Linked DNA regions of Arabidopsis thaliana. The protein of the gene in region 2 interacts with the protein of the main gene of each other region in a pairwise test. Each region holds a gene or a part of one and is shown on either strand. Other genes may lie near its edges.

Region 1 (5,879 bases), on a different chromosome or scaffold from region 2:
TTCTACACTCAGCTAATGCATCTCCACTAAAAATCTCTTCTCCTGTCAACGTGAAACTGATACAACATAAAAACCCAGTCTTTTGCCTAATCAATTCAGCTTCTTCACTAAACCCAAATTATAACCATCAATTACACTTTGCATAAAGCCATAATTCACTGTCTAAAGTATGAAAACGAAATCGCATTTGAGTTCAAAGGAAGAAAAAAACACCAAACTTTGGAAACTCCGAAACTCTCGGCAAAAAAAAATATCAGGAAAGAAATGAAACGTACCGTTGCTGGGTTCATCGTGAAGCCATTTCTGAAATGTAGGAATCGAGACAGACACCTCAACTGAAGTCCGATCCCATTGACACAAACCGTCGAACACCTCGTACCCGTCTCCTCCATTGGCTCTGCTTTTCACTATTTCTTCTTCGTTTTGCCTAGACATGCAAATGGGCCTCAAAGATCGAAGAATTTGCCTGGATTCAAGCACATTCACTGCTTCTTCCACAGTTTTATCCCACGAATGATCCGCCATTCTAAGTGCAAACAGAATTGTGATTTGGGCGAATTTTAAAAAGTGGTTCGGTAGCTAGAGAAAGAAGAGGACTTAAAGCCTCTTCTCCTACTGCTATGACGTAATTAAAACACCTGCTTCTACATGTTTGTAGACTCAGAGAAGGAAATGAGAGAGGCCTGGAGATGAAAAGCCCAGGACGAAGAAGAAGAAGATGAGTAAATGAAAAATTGAAAATTTCGGAGTTGAAACACGTGAAAGTCACATGATCGGTTTGTTCTGGTTTGGTTTATTCCGGTTTTATCGGTTTATTTCTGGTTTGGTTTTATTACGGTTAACTGTAAGCAGCATCATAAAAAGACGAAGATGGATGATGGTGAAATCAAAATCAAGGAAATGGCGCTTGATGTGAGAATCTTCGAGAAAACCTCTCCTTCTCGTTTCATCTCTTTCACTATCCCTAACCCTAATTCTCCGATTCATCTCCTCCGCGTCGCCGTCCTCGACTCGCCTGTTCATTCCACTGAGTCTTCTCCTCCCCGAGTCGCCGCCATTCTCGTCCCCAAGCACCGAGAATCCGATTGGATCTTCTCCACTGAGTCCGGTCAATTACAGCTTCTCCTTAACATGCCAGAAATCTCTCGATTGATCTTGATCGGTGATGATCACGATACTGACTCTGATTTACCTGCGGTTTATCACCGACCGAACGGCGAAGACGACGAATCTGAGAAACTCGAGATAAGATTGAAACCTCTTGTGGTAGCTTTGTTACCTAAAACCCTAACACGAGAAGAAATCGACGATGTGCCTTTTCTGATTTACGATGATAATGTTGTCTCCAGTGTAGAGATTGAAAAATGCGTCGGGCCTTTCGTTGGTGAAATGTTAATTGAAGATGTAGAGATTGAGATCGATGATGGAGTTAGAGAATTTAGGAGGAGATTGAGGTTTAAGAGAATGCCAAATTTAGTTCAATCTGCCATTAAAATCATTCCCAGAAGTTGTTCGAATCCTTCTCTGCCATTAATGGGAACAGAGTTCAAGCTTGATCTTACGGAACTTGTGCATCCTTACTTGGCACCAATGGTGGCAAGTCTTAGCTTGATTGGTTCTGATGTATATGATCATCTCAAATCTAAACCAAAGGCATTGTGCATTGGGGTTGGAGGTGGTGGATTGCTAAGTTTCTTAAGGCTACAGTTAGGGTTCGAAGTTACAGGCGTAGAGATAGATCCTGAAGTCTTGAGGATTGCAAGGCAATACTTCGGGTTAGAGGAAAGCTTAGCTCGTGTTCACGTTGAAGATGGTATTGAGTTCTTAAAGAGACTTTCTAAAAGCTGTGATGATGATGCCAGATTTGATGTCTTGATGGTTGATCTGGACTCTACTGATCCAATTCACGGCATGACTGCTCCTCCGGTTGAGTTTGTGGCTAAAGATGTGTTGCTAGCTGCAAGAACTGTTCTTGTTCCTTCTGGGGTTTTCATTATCAATGTCATTCCTCCGAACAAGACATTTTACCAAGAGCTTCAAGACCAGTTTAGACATGTCTTTGCCGAGTTGTATGAGATCGATGTAGGAAATGGTGAGAATTTTGTTCTCATCGCAACCGTTGCACCTAGAAAGAGCGGTTTCAACAGAGAGAATCTAACACCCGCTGTCTCGGGAAAGTATCTTGATGCTATACAGAAAATCTGAATCATTGAAACAGAAGTTTTCATTGCAAACTTTAAAGTTTAGTTATTGATCCAATATCAAGAGTACAACAGAACAGATTTCTATTCAAAAAAGGTTATCGGAAAAGTGTTGTTCAGCTTCAGCTTTTAGTCTTCTTCACTAAACTTGATCCTCTTCGGGACTGGCTGTGTGTTTCCAACCTGAAGCAGTGACACAAAACATGCAGTTATTAGTTCAATGTTGAAGATGTAGTGTATAGAATTGTGTAATCGGAAACTTACAAGCTCAGGGCATTCGTATTCTATTCCAGCGGCTTCGATTCTCTTCCTCCTTTTCTGATCCTTTTTAACTATCTTCTGCAACATTTTCCTATGCTCTTCCAATGTCCTTTCCTGTATACAACAGTGACATAAATCAAAGTTAGAGCCACTTGTTCAAGAGAAATGGCATATTGATAACAAGAAAAGTGGAGAGAATAACCTTATTAAGTTGTCTTCGCTCAATCTGAACCGAATCCACTGGTTTGAAGTTACATTTAAACCCTCTCCACCTATAACATTCAGGACATAGATACATTAAGATCCACAACTACTTGAAAAGAACAATTCTCAAAATAGGTCATGCATGTTCTCTTCTGGAAACACTAGAGAGTCTCGCACATCTTTTAGAGTATGGAGTCATTAGAAACCAAGGTAGGGGACAAGAATCACATTTTCTTTACCCTAATTTTATGACTCATAAATAAAACCATCTCAGCCAAGAAAACGATCTTTCAATAAACTCTCTTTTATCCTCACTTATTTTATCACATCCTATCTAGTATCATCCTATGACTCAAATGTCATTAAGTCTCACTCTGTAAACCATAGAACATTGTACTTCAAAGCTTGCGCTAAACCACACGAGATAGTATATTGTTATATAGAGCTCTTTCATTCAACAATATAGCACAAAGTACATAAGCAGCCAAGTAAAATAGCTAACCTACACAATTAGATATGCCAACTAACTATTTGCAAAGAAGATCCCTGATCACTACGAAAAAAAGTCGATTAAAATCACTCACAGATTGGGTTTAACATTCTCTGGTTCAATGACATGGACTTTAAGCATGTGCTCCATCAACAAATAATCATTCATTGCACCCGCTGCAATTTCCGCCACCTGCAGAGAACCAAATAAAAATGTCAAGAATTGAATCTAGAGTATATATATAGCACACAACGGTTTCACCAATTTTATACAGAATCTAAAGTATACCTCAGGGTCCTCAAACTGTATGAACCCAAAATGCTTTGATTTCCCAGTCTGTTAAGACGAATACAAATTCAAAGAGTTAAGAAAGAGCACATCGTATCAAACAAGAGCAAACAAAATAAAGTATCAATCAATGTATAACCTTTTTGTTTCTGGCGACTCTAACTCTCTTAACTGTTCCAAACTGCGAGAAGAAAGCTATAACCCAGAAAGGAAAACCAGATTATCAAACACATAAACCATAGATAGATAATAAAAAGGTTTATTCATATTAGCAAGTTTGTGACAACAAAGGGCATTAAATTGAGCAAACACAATAATAAAGGGTGTAAATTTATACCTTCAATCTCAGTCTCATAGAAGCCATGAGGGATTCTACCGATGTATAGCACAGTAGCTTTATTCTGAAGAGGTGGGGTGGTAACTGGAGCTTTTCGAGCTGGACCTCCTTCTAGTGGCTATCAACAAAAACCCATACAGAGAGATTCAATGTAAAACCCTAAAGAGTCTGATACGAAATCGAAACAATGGTGGTAGTAAGAGAAAGTATCGAAGGAAATACCAAAAAATCAGCTGAAGGTTTCGGGTTCTGGGGAAGAGGTAGCTGAGAAGAAGAAGCCGAAGCAGCAACCTTCTTCATGTTCTTCTTCAAAGCTTTCTTCGCCTTGGCACCCATGTTTTCGTCGTCGGCGAGAGAGAGAAAGAGAGAACGCAAGGAAGAGGATGATACAATTAGGGTTTAAGGCGATTAGGTTTTCAACCAATTTAATCGATGTGAAAAAATTTCCAGTTATACCCCTCCCGTCCATTCTGTTTTTTATGTGTGAATATGTTTTTTTAAATAATTGTGGACATTAAAAAATTACAGTGGTGTGTAAATTTCTCAAAATGTTTTACTTGTGGGTTAAAAAAACAGTCCATATTTAAACAGAGCAACTGAGCAACAACAGAAAGAAAAAGCATAAGAAGCCATCTTAGAAAGAGGAGTAATCAAATGATATCCAGAGCTTTTTTTTTTTTCTCATAAGGGATTTTTATTCATTAAACCAATCTTACAAACCGGGTGAACCGGATAACCTAGTAAACCGGTACCCACAACCCCTTCAGCAAAATATGCAGACAGAAGCCGGCACAATTTCCGGCGAGTGAACAACCGGAAACATCTCCGGATTATAAAAACAAACAACTATTAAACCGAAAAAGATAAAAGATTCAATTTAATCTTCAAATTCTTTCTCTTCTCATCACTGGATCTTTTCCGAGAACAAAAGCATGAAAGAAGTTGTCAGCAAACAATCAACCACGAGGTGAAGCTTCTGATCTCTTGTCATCACTTGCTAATAAGAATAGACTTCGGAAATTGATATCTTGACTTCCTGGAATGGCAAGACGGACCTCAAATGAGGTGATTGAAGCCGTCAAAAACGCCGGACCGTTTCAACTATAACGGTTGGAAGGAGTCAAGCAACCCAGAATTCGCCCAAATCTGGATATTGATTCATGTGGATGAGACTAAAACAGTCGCCCAATCGAAACACCAAAACACTTACCTGATTGTGGATGGTGGTGGAACGGATCGAGAGAAGGCCATGAAAATTTCCAGTTAGAAAAGAAGAAAAAACTGATATCAAATTGTTTCCCAAATCAATTCGGTGAAACAAACAGAACGGCAACGGGATAGCCGTAAACAACACCGGATACACCGGACGGCGAGATAGGACAGCGAGATAGATCGACAAAACCGGATCACATCCGGATTCATAAGCTGGTAAAGCATGCAAAACATCGAACAAAATCTCTCTCTCTCTAAAATTTAGAGAGATAAGAGAGAGAGGTTCTGACTTTTCCATATCCAGAGCTTTAAAAAGGCTTATTGATGGGCTAATTAGCCTTGATACAGTAATGCTTCATTATCCAATCAAAGACAAAGCAATCCAAAAAAACAAAAAAAAAAAAGAGGGTACAAAATCAAACCAAAACGAGAACAAGTTCTCCATCAGAGTTACCGAAGAGTAACAGTTCAGACAGAGACATTACATTACATGAATTATAAAACGAAAGATGATCTCTGTTGTGCTCATTGAGAAACTCCTTTGTATGTATCTATCAGCTCCTTCAGTTTCTCGAATCCCTGCAATTTTACCATTGTTAAAGTTAAAAAACACAGTCATTTGTTTTTTCTTCTTCTTCAATATAAATGTTCAAGCCACAGTGAGAGAGTTAAAGAGAAGTTATATGTGATACTTACCATGCGGGTTGTGTATTCTCCAAATGATTCTTTAGTTTGCCTCTCTAGTTTCCAGTGATAGAACAATGGCTCGCAGACTTTCTCTAAGTCGTGAACCTTAACCTTATCCATGAAACTTCTCGCTATCTGGGTCAGGTTCGGTGTTCCTCCTAGCCAAACCTGCACAACCGACAACAACTCAGAATATTAG
Region 2 (6,448 bases):
AACTAAAAAAATGAACGAATAATAAAATGCCACGTAGTTGACCTTGGAAAAAGCGCAATGATATGAAGCCAGGTAGGACCCACATTGCTGTTTCTTGATTTGACTTTTGGAAGAGAAGAGCTCCTCTTTCTTTAGCAAACTTTACTGTTGTTGATATATGTCTTTTCCATAAAGTCTTCATATTTATTGAGGTTTTTTTTTTTTTTTTACATACTAGAATTTAAGTTTTTAATACTCTCTTATATTTATGGGCTGTTATCGCAAAGTAGGCCCTTTTATAAGTGGGCCATTACAAAATAAATTCATGGGCCCATATAAATGTTAACGGCACATGTCATATCACAATCATGTATCTCTATTATCTAAAGATTCTAAACGATTTGAAATATTGGATTATGCGTATAATGTTTTTTTTTTCTTTGATGGGCTAAAAGCCTCTACAACATTTGGATTTATGCCCTAAATCTCCTCTCCCGGTGATCTTTTGAACTTGCTTGGGGGGGACGCAACTTCTTCCAAGACAGTCACACATGCTACTAGACCGATCTTTGTATTGTAGAGTTGCCACCGTTGTCGTGTATCAGCTCTTCATCTGAAATGATGCAGTTATTGATTTTTGGCCAATGGATAATGTTTAATGTGCTCTCATAATTTTCTTTATATTTTTTTACCAGTTTGGGAAGTTCTAGACCTCTAGTCTCTCGACTTGAGAAACCAGTAAGTTATATAGTACAGATATTCCTGATTTTATGATTTTGAGGGAAGAAAGCTAAATTGATACATGAAAACAAAACATAATCAAAATTACATTCTAGAGAGGCAAGTGTAAGAACATAGATACATAACACAAGCAGTTCAGAATCATTAAAGAAGTGACTGAGAGAGAGAGAGTGAGAGAGAAATAAGACAACAAGAGAGAAGCAGCTTTAGAGTTTTGTTACTTGTCCTTATACACTCTCAGTACTGCTAAACCTGTTTTTACTTAGTTTGTTTTTTTGTTTTTTTTGTTGAGTGGAGATCACTTTCTTGAAGAACAAGGTAACCCAATGAACAATTGCGTCTCTACTTCAGAACTTGGGCTACTCTCTTCATCACCTCTTCCAGTACTTTCTTGATTCTTATTTGACCAAACTTCGCTTTCATGAGATCCCCACTGCATTCAAATAGAATTATTACACAAAATTAATAGATGCAAATTAGAAGATATATAGAACAATACATAAATTAAAGAAGGTTGATGATTGAAGATAACCAAGAAAAACTAGTAAGGACTCTCCTAACCTAATAACCCCCAAAAAGAACCCCAACTTTCTTATCTTTACCGAATAAAAAAACGAATGTGCAACCCTAACTTGAGACCCATAAGAATATATTATACCTTTTCAGAGAGCTTCTCGTTTTCTGCAGCTAGAGCTTTCTCCTGCAAAAGTTTTAGATTCCAATTTGTAAAAAGCAAGCACAAGAGGCTTACTTACTTGGAATATTACACAATTTGCATACATACTTATATCTGTTTATATACACTCATAAAAACTACTTTACCTTTTGCTTGAGCTGCTCAATTTGTTCCTTAAACACTTGAGTCTAAAAGAGATGAGAAATTGAGTTATAATTATGAGTGGTTTCAGAAGATGATTCGAACAATACTTATAATGTGGAGATATAACAGATAAATATATACACATACCTTTCTTGCTCGAATACATTTGACACTTTTCTCAAGCTGTTGCTCAATCTGTTGCAGCTCCTCGATTGAGCATGTTCCTATGCCTTCTCCCAAGAGTTTACTGATTACAAAAACAAAACACTAATTGATCAAACTCTCCTATGCATCATGAAATAGATATATACAAGTGATGAATAATGTGTTTGTATATATGTATATATCACAAACCGTTTAGAAGCTTCGAGTTGTTCAATTTTCTTCATCATGTTTGCTGCTTCATATTTCAAATGCTGTTGGTTATATCACAGAAATGTTATTGCATGTACATATATATCCTAATTATAAATATGTGACTTGATCCTGTGACCTTGAGATTATATACATATTGTGGTTATATTCATTACCGCTCTTTGATATTATATAGTAAAAGTATTAATTAGCAAGAATTGATATATAGGCAAGAAGATCATAAAGAATAAACCTGCATATTTTCTTCAGAAACCGGTTTGGTGCTGACTCGATCCTTAGTATGCCTCAGATAACGATCTATGGTATCTTGCATACTGTCAAAAACATATATAATTGGAACATTAAAGTAAATCATCAGAGATCAAATTTAGATCCCAATGGTGTTCTCAAAACATTTCTTATTGAAGATATCACTAGACTTAATCAAGGACATAGCTTGAAAAGTCTTGTACTTTTTCCCCCTATTTTAGAAAATCAAAAACATGTGAGGTCTTATCTTTATATTTAGTAGGTTCGAGAGAAAGAAGTACTTTCCCAAATGGACCAAATGTCTGAAACATCTGATCAAAAGCTGGCATTTTCATTTACAGAAGTAATGATTCATCAAAAGTAAGTTTGGTTTCCCTACTACCTAACAGTACAAGATAAAACTCTTTTGATTCTCAAAAACAATCAACATTTAGGTTTGGCTAGCTAGCTTTGAGTTTCTATGTCAAAATCAGGAACAAATATTCAAACAAATTGAACTAAATTAGGAATGAGCATGAAATGAAGCATGAGGGATTAATAAATCAGGAATGATGAAACAACTTCCTAATCATCACTTAGAAATTAGAACAACATGTTTTGCTTAAAGCAATAACAAGACAAAGATTAGTTCAAACCAAAAGAATACTAATTGAAAGTTGTTTTATTAATACTATGTGATCATGATCTCTAAGAAGATCAAATATATAACAAGTGTAAATTGGCTACGAAAGAGCACATTTTATTTATATCATAACTTGAGAAACTAATTGAGAAAGAGAGAGACAGATGATTAAACAAGATGATATACTAGCGGAAATAAAAAAACAATAAATAAGAGGGTATATGTACTTGATACTACTTTAATAATAGCCCTAATTTTGCAGAAACCAAGAAACTCATTTAAACACACCTCTCAAAGCAAACGTCAAAGAGATGTGATTCCACAAAAGGCCAATCAAATCCATATATAAACCAAAAAAAATTAAGATACAAATAGAGAGGTTAATGAGATCTCTCTCTCTCTCTCTTTCTATGGATGATTTGTAAGAAAGACAAAAAGAACGTACTTGGAGCTGGCGAATTCATAAAGTTTGCCTTTAGGAGAGAAGATGATAAGAGAAACTTCAGCATCACAAAGCACTGAGAGCTCAAAGGCTTTCTTCAACAAACCATTCCTTCTTTTGGAGAAAGTCACTTGTCTGCTTGTTGCATTCTCTATTCTCTTCATCTGAGTTTTGCCCCTCACCATATCTTCTTCTTTAGTTAATTTCCCTTGCACACAGAAAAAAAATAAAATTATTTTTTCAAAAATTGAAGAAAACGGTAGATCAATGGTGCAACCACCTCAATAACAAGATTAGTCACACACATAAAACAACCCATTTCATATATGAATCAAAGAGAGTAGGTTAAAAAAATGAAGATATGATCGAAATATGACTTTTTTGTTTGGGTGGGAGAAGACTGATGAAGTCAACGAAAGATTAAGTACCCAAAAAGCAAAACAATCTAAAGTATCTGATCTATAAGTCTGTAATGGAAACTTTTGTTATCGGTTTAATTGAAGGATGCAACCTCCTTTCATGAGATTTAGGACAAAGAAACCAAACACATCAAATCGAACCAAATGAAACCAAACCCATATAAGTTTATAGATCCATCAGAGTACAAAGCAAAAGAAAAAAGAAAAGATCATGACGAAGAGATCTTACCGATTGGCTAAAAGGGTTTGATAAAAACCTAACCAGGAGGAAGCTTTCGAGGATAAAGGGTTTGTGTATGTATAGGTAGAGATATAGGAGGAGACTATATAAGCATTACTGGAGGGAGAAGAAGAAAGAAAGAGAAGGAAGAAGATGATCAAAGTTGATTCTCTGCGAAAGGAAGAACCTTTTTATGGAAGTAGCAAAAGAAGTAGCTTTCCTCGTTTCATCTATTTGTGTGTAATAAAAGAAACAAAAGACAAAAAAACTTCACACACTCGTCTCTTCTCTCTCTGCTTTTCTCCTTAAAAAAGATCCTCTTCTCGTTGTAGTTATGGTAATGGTGTTTGTGAAACCATATATATTTTCTTTTCTATTTTATTTCTTGGAGAAAGATAATAAAATAAGAGAAAGAAAGAGGGAGGAGCTAAATAGTCAGTCATATGTGTCGCAAATATGATGGACGCTTGAAACCTCATCCTTTACTTATTTTGGAAAAAAGCCTTAAGAAAGACCAAAAATAGCATATTTTGATACATATGGACATTTTTACATACACATCTTTTTCCCTCCCATAAATATCTAGTTGGATGGAAATGCCTGTCAAATTATTTTTATTAAATTTCTTCTAACAAAAATCTTTTTTTGTTTTTAATGTGGACACAAACACTCTCTCGTACCTATATGCCCCCACTTGTAATTGATATGAAAAATAAGAATATCGTTTTTTCTTACCTGTGAGTAATACAACTATATTGGTTTTAATCAATTTTTATAATATCTTTCCATCCCAACAGATAAAATTCATTTGATTTGTATATTTTCTATGCTTGTTTGTCCATTGTTTCTTATTGTTGTTCTTAAATTGTGTTTTTAGTTATATGACATAATCTTACATCTCCATGTGAATAATTAATTACTTGCAATTGTAAGTTTTTATAAGTTGGACAAAACCACATTACAAAATACTACAATTTCCTCATTACCTAAGTGACCATTAATCCAAATATTTGGAGGCTAGTACAGAGACAATGGGGCAATGGCGTTAAGTAGCGACGTGTCTAAAGAGGCATTTGCTATTTTTGGTCCCTCGGATTACTAAAGAAAACGTAACTTAGAAATCCAATAATAATTCAGCTTATCGAACGTCTTGTCTAGCTAGTGGCACCAAAAAAATATCCTTTTTTGGAGATAAAATTGTTAATCGATATCTAATGATCTTTTATCTATATCGGGAGGAGGACCACACAAACTAATTATTTCGAAAAATACACATCTTCTCTGGTGAAATATGTTAACGTATTTATATATATTAAATATCAAACAGATAGGTCCGAAAATCTGTATGGATAATTTTTATATAAATACACATCTTCTCTGGTGAATTGTCTCTATCTTTATATTTTCGTGTTTGTATAAAGTATAAACCCGGTTTGAAGTTTAGTTATGTATTTTGTAGACCCAATTCAGATTTAAAGAAACATCATCGTATACCACTAGTAAATACGATCACTTCTTAACTGGTTGAGACAAATCCAAAACAAAAAGTATCTAACGTAACTGAACCAACTATACATTACTTAAAGGATTCGTCCTATAGATTAAAACAATCGTGTTAGTAATGTGTCACATCGAAAGTAAGATAGAACCAGGCTATGCTTCAGGTTTTTGTTCACTGCGATTAATTTTAGATATGATTGACCACTACAATTATTTTTAAGTGGTAGTAATATCCGATTTTTTTTGTACATAATCATATAAACTAATCTAATTTTCGCTTCGAGATCCCAAAGTATAATTTTTTTAAAAATATGACTATATGAGAGATACGTAGAGTTCTAGTCTACACTATATGAGAGATACGTATGCGTTTAGTCACAAGTTTCTTTGTTGCCATTAGATTAGAAAAACCTTGTATAAGTAAGTACATGTCTGTCTAGCAGTCTAGGAATGATGTGAATTTGCATTTAAAAGATGTATGGTTAGTAACTTCCAACATGGTGATATGGAAATCTCATGAGTTTACCAGTCATAAGCTCATGCAAAATCATAACATATAAAGTGTATTTTAGATAAATCAAAATTTCACAATGATTAAACACCAATGTGTTTGTAAAATTAGTTTGGGGTTAATGTACAAGAATTAGAGAAATAAGGGTGGGAAAAAAGAGTACAATATTAGAAATACATCAACGTCGTCCGTACAGTCACGTACAAACGTTAGCCAATGATAATTCGAAAACGCACCTCTTACTTTTTCTCATCAATCGAAAAATCCCGAGACAATAATAATATATTTATTATTTTATTAATTACAAAGATAAATCGTGCTCCACACTTTAGTCTTCATGGGACCCTCACAAAAATTGCCATATCTCCAAATAATAAAATTCTACAATATAGCTATTATATGGTCCTACTTTTCTTACCTCTTATAACCTCTTTACTTCCTCTTTTAGGTTAAATCTATTTTTCGCTCCTTTTGTTTTCATTTTCCTCATATGTATATGCCTATTATATTCACTTCTTTAGGTGTTTTTTTTTTCTTCTTTTAATTCATATCTTTGTATCATTATCTTAT
Region 3 (4,457 bases), on a different chromosome or scaffold from region 2:
TGAAACAGTGTTTTTTTTTGTTTTGAAACAAGAGTTCATTGTACTAGGAAAGTTTCTGGACCAATCTTCAGTAAGAATCAAATAAAACTCAGAGCAACTTAAATTATAATGTGTATGGAGGAGATTAGATGGAAGCTGAATAACTAACATATACTGCACCAAATCAAAAGCAGTTTTCGAATTTTAAAGGCTCAAACACTCATTGGGCCGATGTATGGGCCAAATACACAAGTAACTAACATATACATACTTGTGTTTGCTATGGTACCCAATGATTCATGTCATTTGTTTTCACAAACTTTTAACTCTTTTTTTTTCCTCTAAGCCGATTGAAACAAATTGGGTCCATTGCATAATTTACCTAAAGCTAAGCTGATATTGAATATTAGTTTCTTCCATCAAATGTCAATTGTTTATAATTCATCCCCCGACAAAACTAAATGGGCCGATTCTTAGGCCCATATTAGGTGGTCACTCCGGTTGTGCTAAAAATTGTTCAGAGAAGTCAAAGTCTCCAGATTGATGTCAATTGTCAACACTCTACAAGATCACTCCTTTCCATGGAGTTCAACTAGAAGAGCTTTTCGATCAATTTCACCAAATCAGAAACAATTTCGAATTTTTAACACTCCTTGGGCCGATTAATGGGCCAAATGATAGGTCACTCCAGGCCTTTCCCAAACCCTATAGTCCTCCTCGGCTATAAATAGCAAGTGGAGTAGAGCGACTTTGCTCACTCAGTTTCCTTCCAAAAGAAAGAGAAAGAGCATCGTTTTGAGCAAATGAGTAGGAACATGGAAGTTAACGCAGGCAGTTCCGGCGAAATTCCGTCTCCAAGTAAAGTTTTCATCTTTCACTGTCATTTCTTATAAAAATCAAACCTTTATAGTTTACACGTCAAATCTCTCTTTCTAATAACGAATTTGTGTTTGTTTTATCTTATGTATGTACAGTAAGGAACCGATTTCAGAAAAGTGGGAGTCAAGCGGTGTACGAGGTGACAGAGACGAAGAAATCTTGCGTGACGAGAGTCGACATGCCTGGTTGTCCCGAGTCAGATCTCACCTACTGGGTCGACGCCAACAACGTCCACTTCTTCGCCGACGAACCAGCAATGCCTGAGTACGAAAACGCCGGACGCAAATACGGAGGCTCCATGATTTTCAACCCTGAGGCTTACGACGTCAAGAAAACTAAAGTGAAGCTTATCAACGGAGTGCTCTGGATCACCGTCCCTAAGATCCCAGGCAAAAACGCTTCCATTAATGTCAAGGAGAGGATCCTCCATTACTGATTTAACAACACCTTGGTTTGTGTCTCGTAATGGTACTTGTGTCTAGCGTCTCTATCTATCTATGAACTTTGATGCAGCTACTGCTTTATGTTTATCATTTTGTGGTTTAGTTAAGAACGATCTTGCTTCTATATGTCGTGATCTCAATAAAGAAAAAGTTGTCAGCTTTCTTTGTTCTATTTAATCTTACATTAACCTAGCTATTCGATAAGACTATATAGATCTTTGCCATTATTAAACCGGATTACGAGTATGTAACCTGGACATGTTAATAGATATATGTTGTTGTAAGTAGGGATCAAACTTTTTAATAGCGTTGTCGTAATAATTGGATAAACACTAAACGACGGTTGAAACCTTATTTGATCTTTGATGAAAAAAAAAAAGATAATTGAGAGCTCATAATTTTTTTACTCTTGAAGATTGCTGACGTCAGCGTCGTCTTGTCAAAAATGTTTGAAAATTAATGAAGAGTGAAGAGTGTGGGTACGGTTTTACTTTTGCAGTCATTTTTGTCGTACATAATTACATATAAACGAAAGGAGTAAAAAAAGCGTGGGATAGCTCACAGAGCTGGTGACGTCAGCTTATTCTCTACCGTAAAAAAAATCAAAAGAGTAAAAGCAAGTTTTTTTTCTTACCGAGAGAGAGAGTCGGTGACGTAGGCAAGACCAGTCAAACTTATGCTATGAAGGTTAAAAAAAAGCCAGCTGGAGCGTGCCACGTCACAGTCTGTACCACAAGATGGTGCTTCGTCTATATTTATCAACAGGAGAACAAAACGCCATTTTTACGCAACCTACCTTGAACTAGAAGAGAAGAGAGAGCAAAAAACAAAGAGAGAGATGGGTGAGACAAAGGCAGATTTCAGGGACATGTCAAGAATTCCTAAAGTTCGAGGTATCTCTTTTCACGAGCTACTAGATTTCCCAAGAACAACATTGTTCTAATTTTTCTCGGAAAATATGTGTTTTTTCTAGAAAGTTGTCTCAATTTGTTTACTTGTGAAGTGTTAACATGAACTTGGTACAAAGATTTACAGTTTTTTTACTGTGCATGATTCATGAAAATGAAGCAGATCGAGTTAGTTCCATCTTTGATAAGTGTCTTCCTTTGTTCTCTGTATACTTTTCTTCATCAAGTTTTGATCTTTGTTTACTTATTATTATTACAGAGGGGTTCTACGCGACGAACAATCAGTTTCAGAAAGCGGGTCCAAAGGGTTTCGTTCAAGTGAAGGTTCTGGAGAACGACAATCTCTACGTGCGTGTCGACTTGCCTGGTGTTCCAGACGACGCCGTTCGCTACAGAGTTGACGCCGTGAGACAAAAGGTTGTCTTTTTCTCCGGTGAAACTCTGAACAACGGCAAGGAAGGTGTGCGTCAGTACTCTGGAACCGCTGGGCTTGGCTGTGACTGCTGCGAGATCACAGGCGTGGATGCCAAAATGAAAGATGGAGTTTTGAGGATGATTCTCACAAGGGTCAAGGTTGTGAGCAAGGCTCAAGACAACAACAACAACAAGTGTACTCTCACTGTGCCTCCTTTTACAGGTTCGACTCATTCCTCTTCTCTAAAGTCACAATCTCTTTTGCTGCATCATTTGTTGTTAATACAGTACTCTCTGTTCTTTATTAAGGTCAATCCGGAATACGCTTGGAGGATCATCCGTGTCTGGTGTCTGGTCGCAAGGGAGCACTAATTGGGGTGACAAAAGCGGGAGGAGGGGCTCACTTTGCAGTGGACATGCCAGGTGTTAGTCCGGATGATGTGGAAGTGTATGCTGATGAAAAGGAAATCAGATTCAAAGCTGAGATCAAGGACGTGTATGAACACGATGAGAGCGGTCGAACCTACCTCGGAAGCGTCCAAAGTCCTTTTCCCGCTTTAATTTCGAACAACACCATCGCTTGGGATGCAGAATTTGGTGTTCTCAGGATTGCTGTCATACCTCCTGACGACATGACCACCATCAACAACAAAAGAAACCCTATTGAATGAATGATCTCTCTACCTCTCTTTTAGCTAGTACTCTACTATATTTTCATTTTGGGACATTGACTAGTTTTCTCTGTTTAAGTTGAGACATTGTGTGTGTGAGAGAGATTAGTCCTGCTTTTGTGTTTGCTATCGAATCAAGTGATTCATGTCATTTGTTTTCACAATCTTAACTCTTTTGTTCCCCTAAGCTGAATTCAAAAACAAACAAACTGGATCCCTCGAATAACCTGATTGGTGATGATGATTGCTCAAAACCCCCTAAAGCTGATTCCATGGAATGTCAATTGTTTATAGATCCTAGGACATTTGATCTGTCACTCAACAGTGCCTAATTCCTCAATTGAATCGAAATGGTCATGAAAGGAGTGTGATCATTTTATCAGACAAGTCAAAGTTTCTACTCTTCATCATTATTAACACATCCAGTAACAAAACTAATTGGGCCGATTATTAGGCCCATGATAGGTGGATCACTCCAGGCCTTTTCCAAACTCCACGAAAGCAGGCAGAAACACTTTCTTCCCGTGAGTTTTTCCCGGTTGATCTGCGATTCAACAGTGTCTATCCGAAATTTAGTTGAAATGGTCATAGAAGAGTGTAGTAGAAAGGTTGGAATTTGTGCTCAAAATCGGTCAGAGAAGTCAAAGTTTGCTACTTTTCCAGTCTCTAGAATGATGTCAACAAGATCACTCATTTCCATGGAGTCAACTTGAAGAAGAGCTTTTTCGATCAAATCCTTGAATTCGATTGATGGGTATCCTCGGCTGCGACGCCCATGGCGATTTGAACGATGCAGAGTTCAGCAAACCCTTACCTTCGATTGGTATCTACGTTGCCGTAGCTTCACTCATCTGTGGTCTAGCCATGGCCGCCGATCTTATACACGGCTTCCGACACCGCAAATTCTGGTTTCCCTGTAAGTTCTTCTCTCTCAACGCCACTTCTCTGACTTTCATCGCTGTCGGAATCAAACTCTCTGTGGATCTCAACACTTCCATGCCGAGTCGTCAGGATCAGTTAGCTAAACTCAGCAGCACCGTCTTTGTATGTACTGTGATGGGTAATTCGATGCCTTCTCTGGGTATTATGGACAACAATGATCTCCTCATGAATCTTATGGCTTTAGGGATTCTTGTCATCACTGATGTTGTTAACATCTGTAT

What was found. Proteins that work in one complex are often made in the same cells at the same time.
Region 1: the proteins of AGL20 (region 2) and AT5G04600 interact in a two-hybrid assay, tested with the Arabidopsis thaliana proteins (one large-scale study listed by BioGRID).
Region 3: the proteins of AGL20 (region 2) and AT5G47590 interact in a two-hybrid assay, tested with the Arabidopsis thaliana proteins (one large-scale study listed by BioGRID).

Annotation. Positions count from the first base shown.
Region 1 is NC_003076.8:1,321,938-1,327,816, reverse strand, and holds AT5G04600 (RNA-binding (RRM/RBD/RNP motifs) family protein), read right to left. Parts: upstream 4,244-5,879; 5' UTR 4,118-4,243; coding exon 4,004-4,117; intron 3,900-4,003; coding exon 3,782-3,899; intron 3,640-3,781; coding exon 3,584-3,639; intron 3,493-3,583; coding exon 3,445-3,492; intron 3,349-3,444; coding exon 3,251-3,348; intron 2,735-3,250; coding exon 2,665-2,734; intron 2,577-2,664; coding exon 2,466-2,576; intron 2,385-2,465; coding exon 2,331-2,384; 3' UTR 2,206-2,330; coding exon of another isoform or gene 901-2,205; 3' UTR 833-900; downstream 1-832. Other genes in the region: BIOF (biotin F), read right to left, coding at 1-42, 276-525; AT5G04610 (S-adenosyl-L-methionine-dependent methyltransferases superfamily protein), read left to right, coding at 901-2,205; SIR (sulfite reductase), read right to left, coding at 5,519-5,572, 5,690-5,848.
Region 2 is NC_003071.7:18,806,781-18,813,228, forward strand, and holds AGL20 (AGAMOUS-like 20), read right to left. Parts: upstream 4,346-6,448; 5' UTR 3,877-4,345; intron 3,437-3,876; 5' UTR 3,414-3,436; coding exon 3,232-3,413; intron 2,230-3,231; coding exon 2,148-2,229; intron 1,957-2,147; coding exon 1,895-1,956; intron 1,788-1,894; coding exon 1,688-1,787; intron 1,585-1,687; coding exon 1,543-1,584; coding exon of another isoform or gene 1,534-1,542; exon of another isoform or gene 1,421-1,533; coding exon 1,379-1,420; intron 1,154-1,378; coding exon 1,019-1,153; 3' UTR 725-1,018; downstream 1-724. UniProt on the Arabidopsis thaliana protein: Transcription activator active in flowering time control. May integrate signals from the photoperiod, vernalization and autonomous floral induction pathways. Can modulate class B and C homeotic genes expression.
Region 3 is NC_003076.8:19,296,782-19,301,238, reverse strand, and holds AT5G47590 (Heat shock protein HSP20/alpha crystallin family), read left to right. Parts: upstream 1-2,064; 5' UTR 2,065-2,139; coding exon 2,140-2,194; intron 2,195-2,468; coding exon 2,469-2,846; coding exon of another isoform or gene 2,847-2,932; coding exon 2,933-3,294; 3' UTR 3,295-3,625; downstream 3,626-4,457. Other genes in the region: AT5G47600 (HSP20-like chaperones superfamily protein), read left to right, coding at 783-837, 954-1,294; ASG7 (uncharacterized protein), read left to right, coding at 4,045-4,457.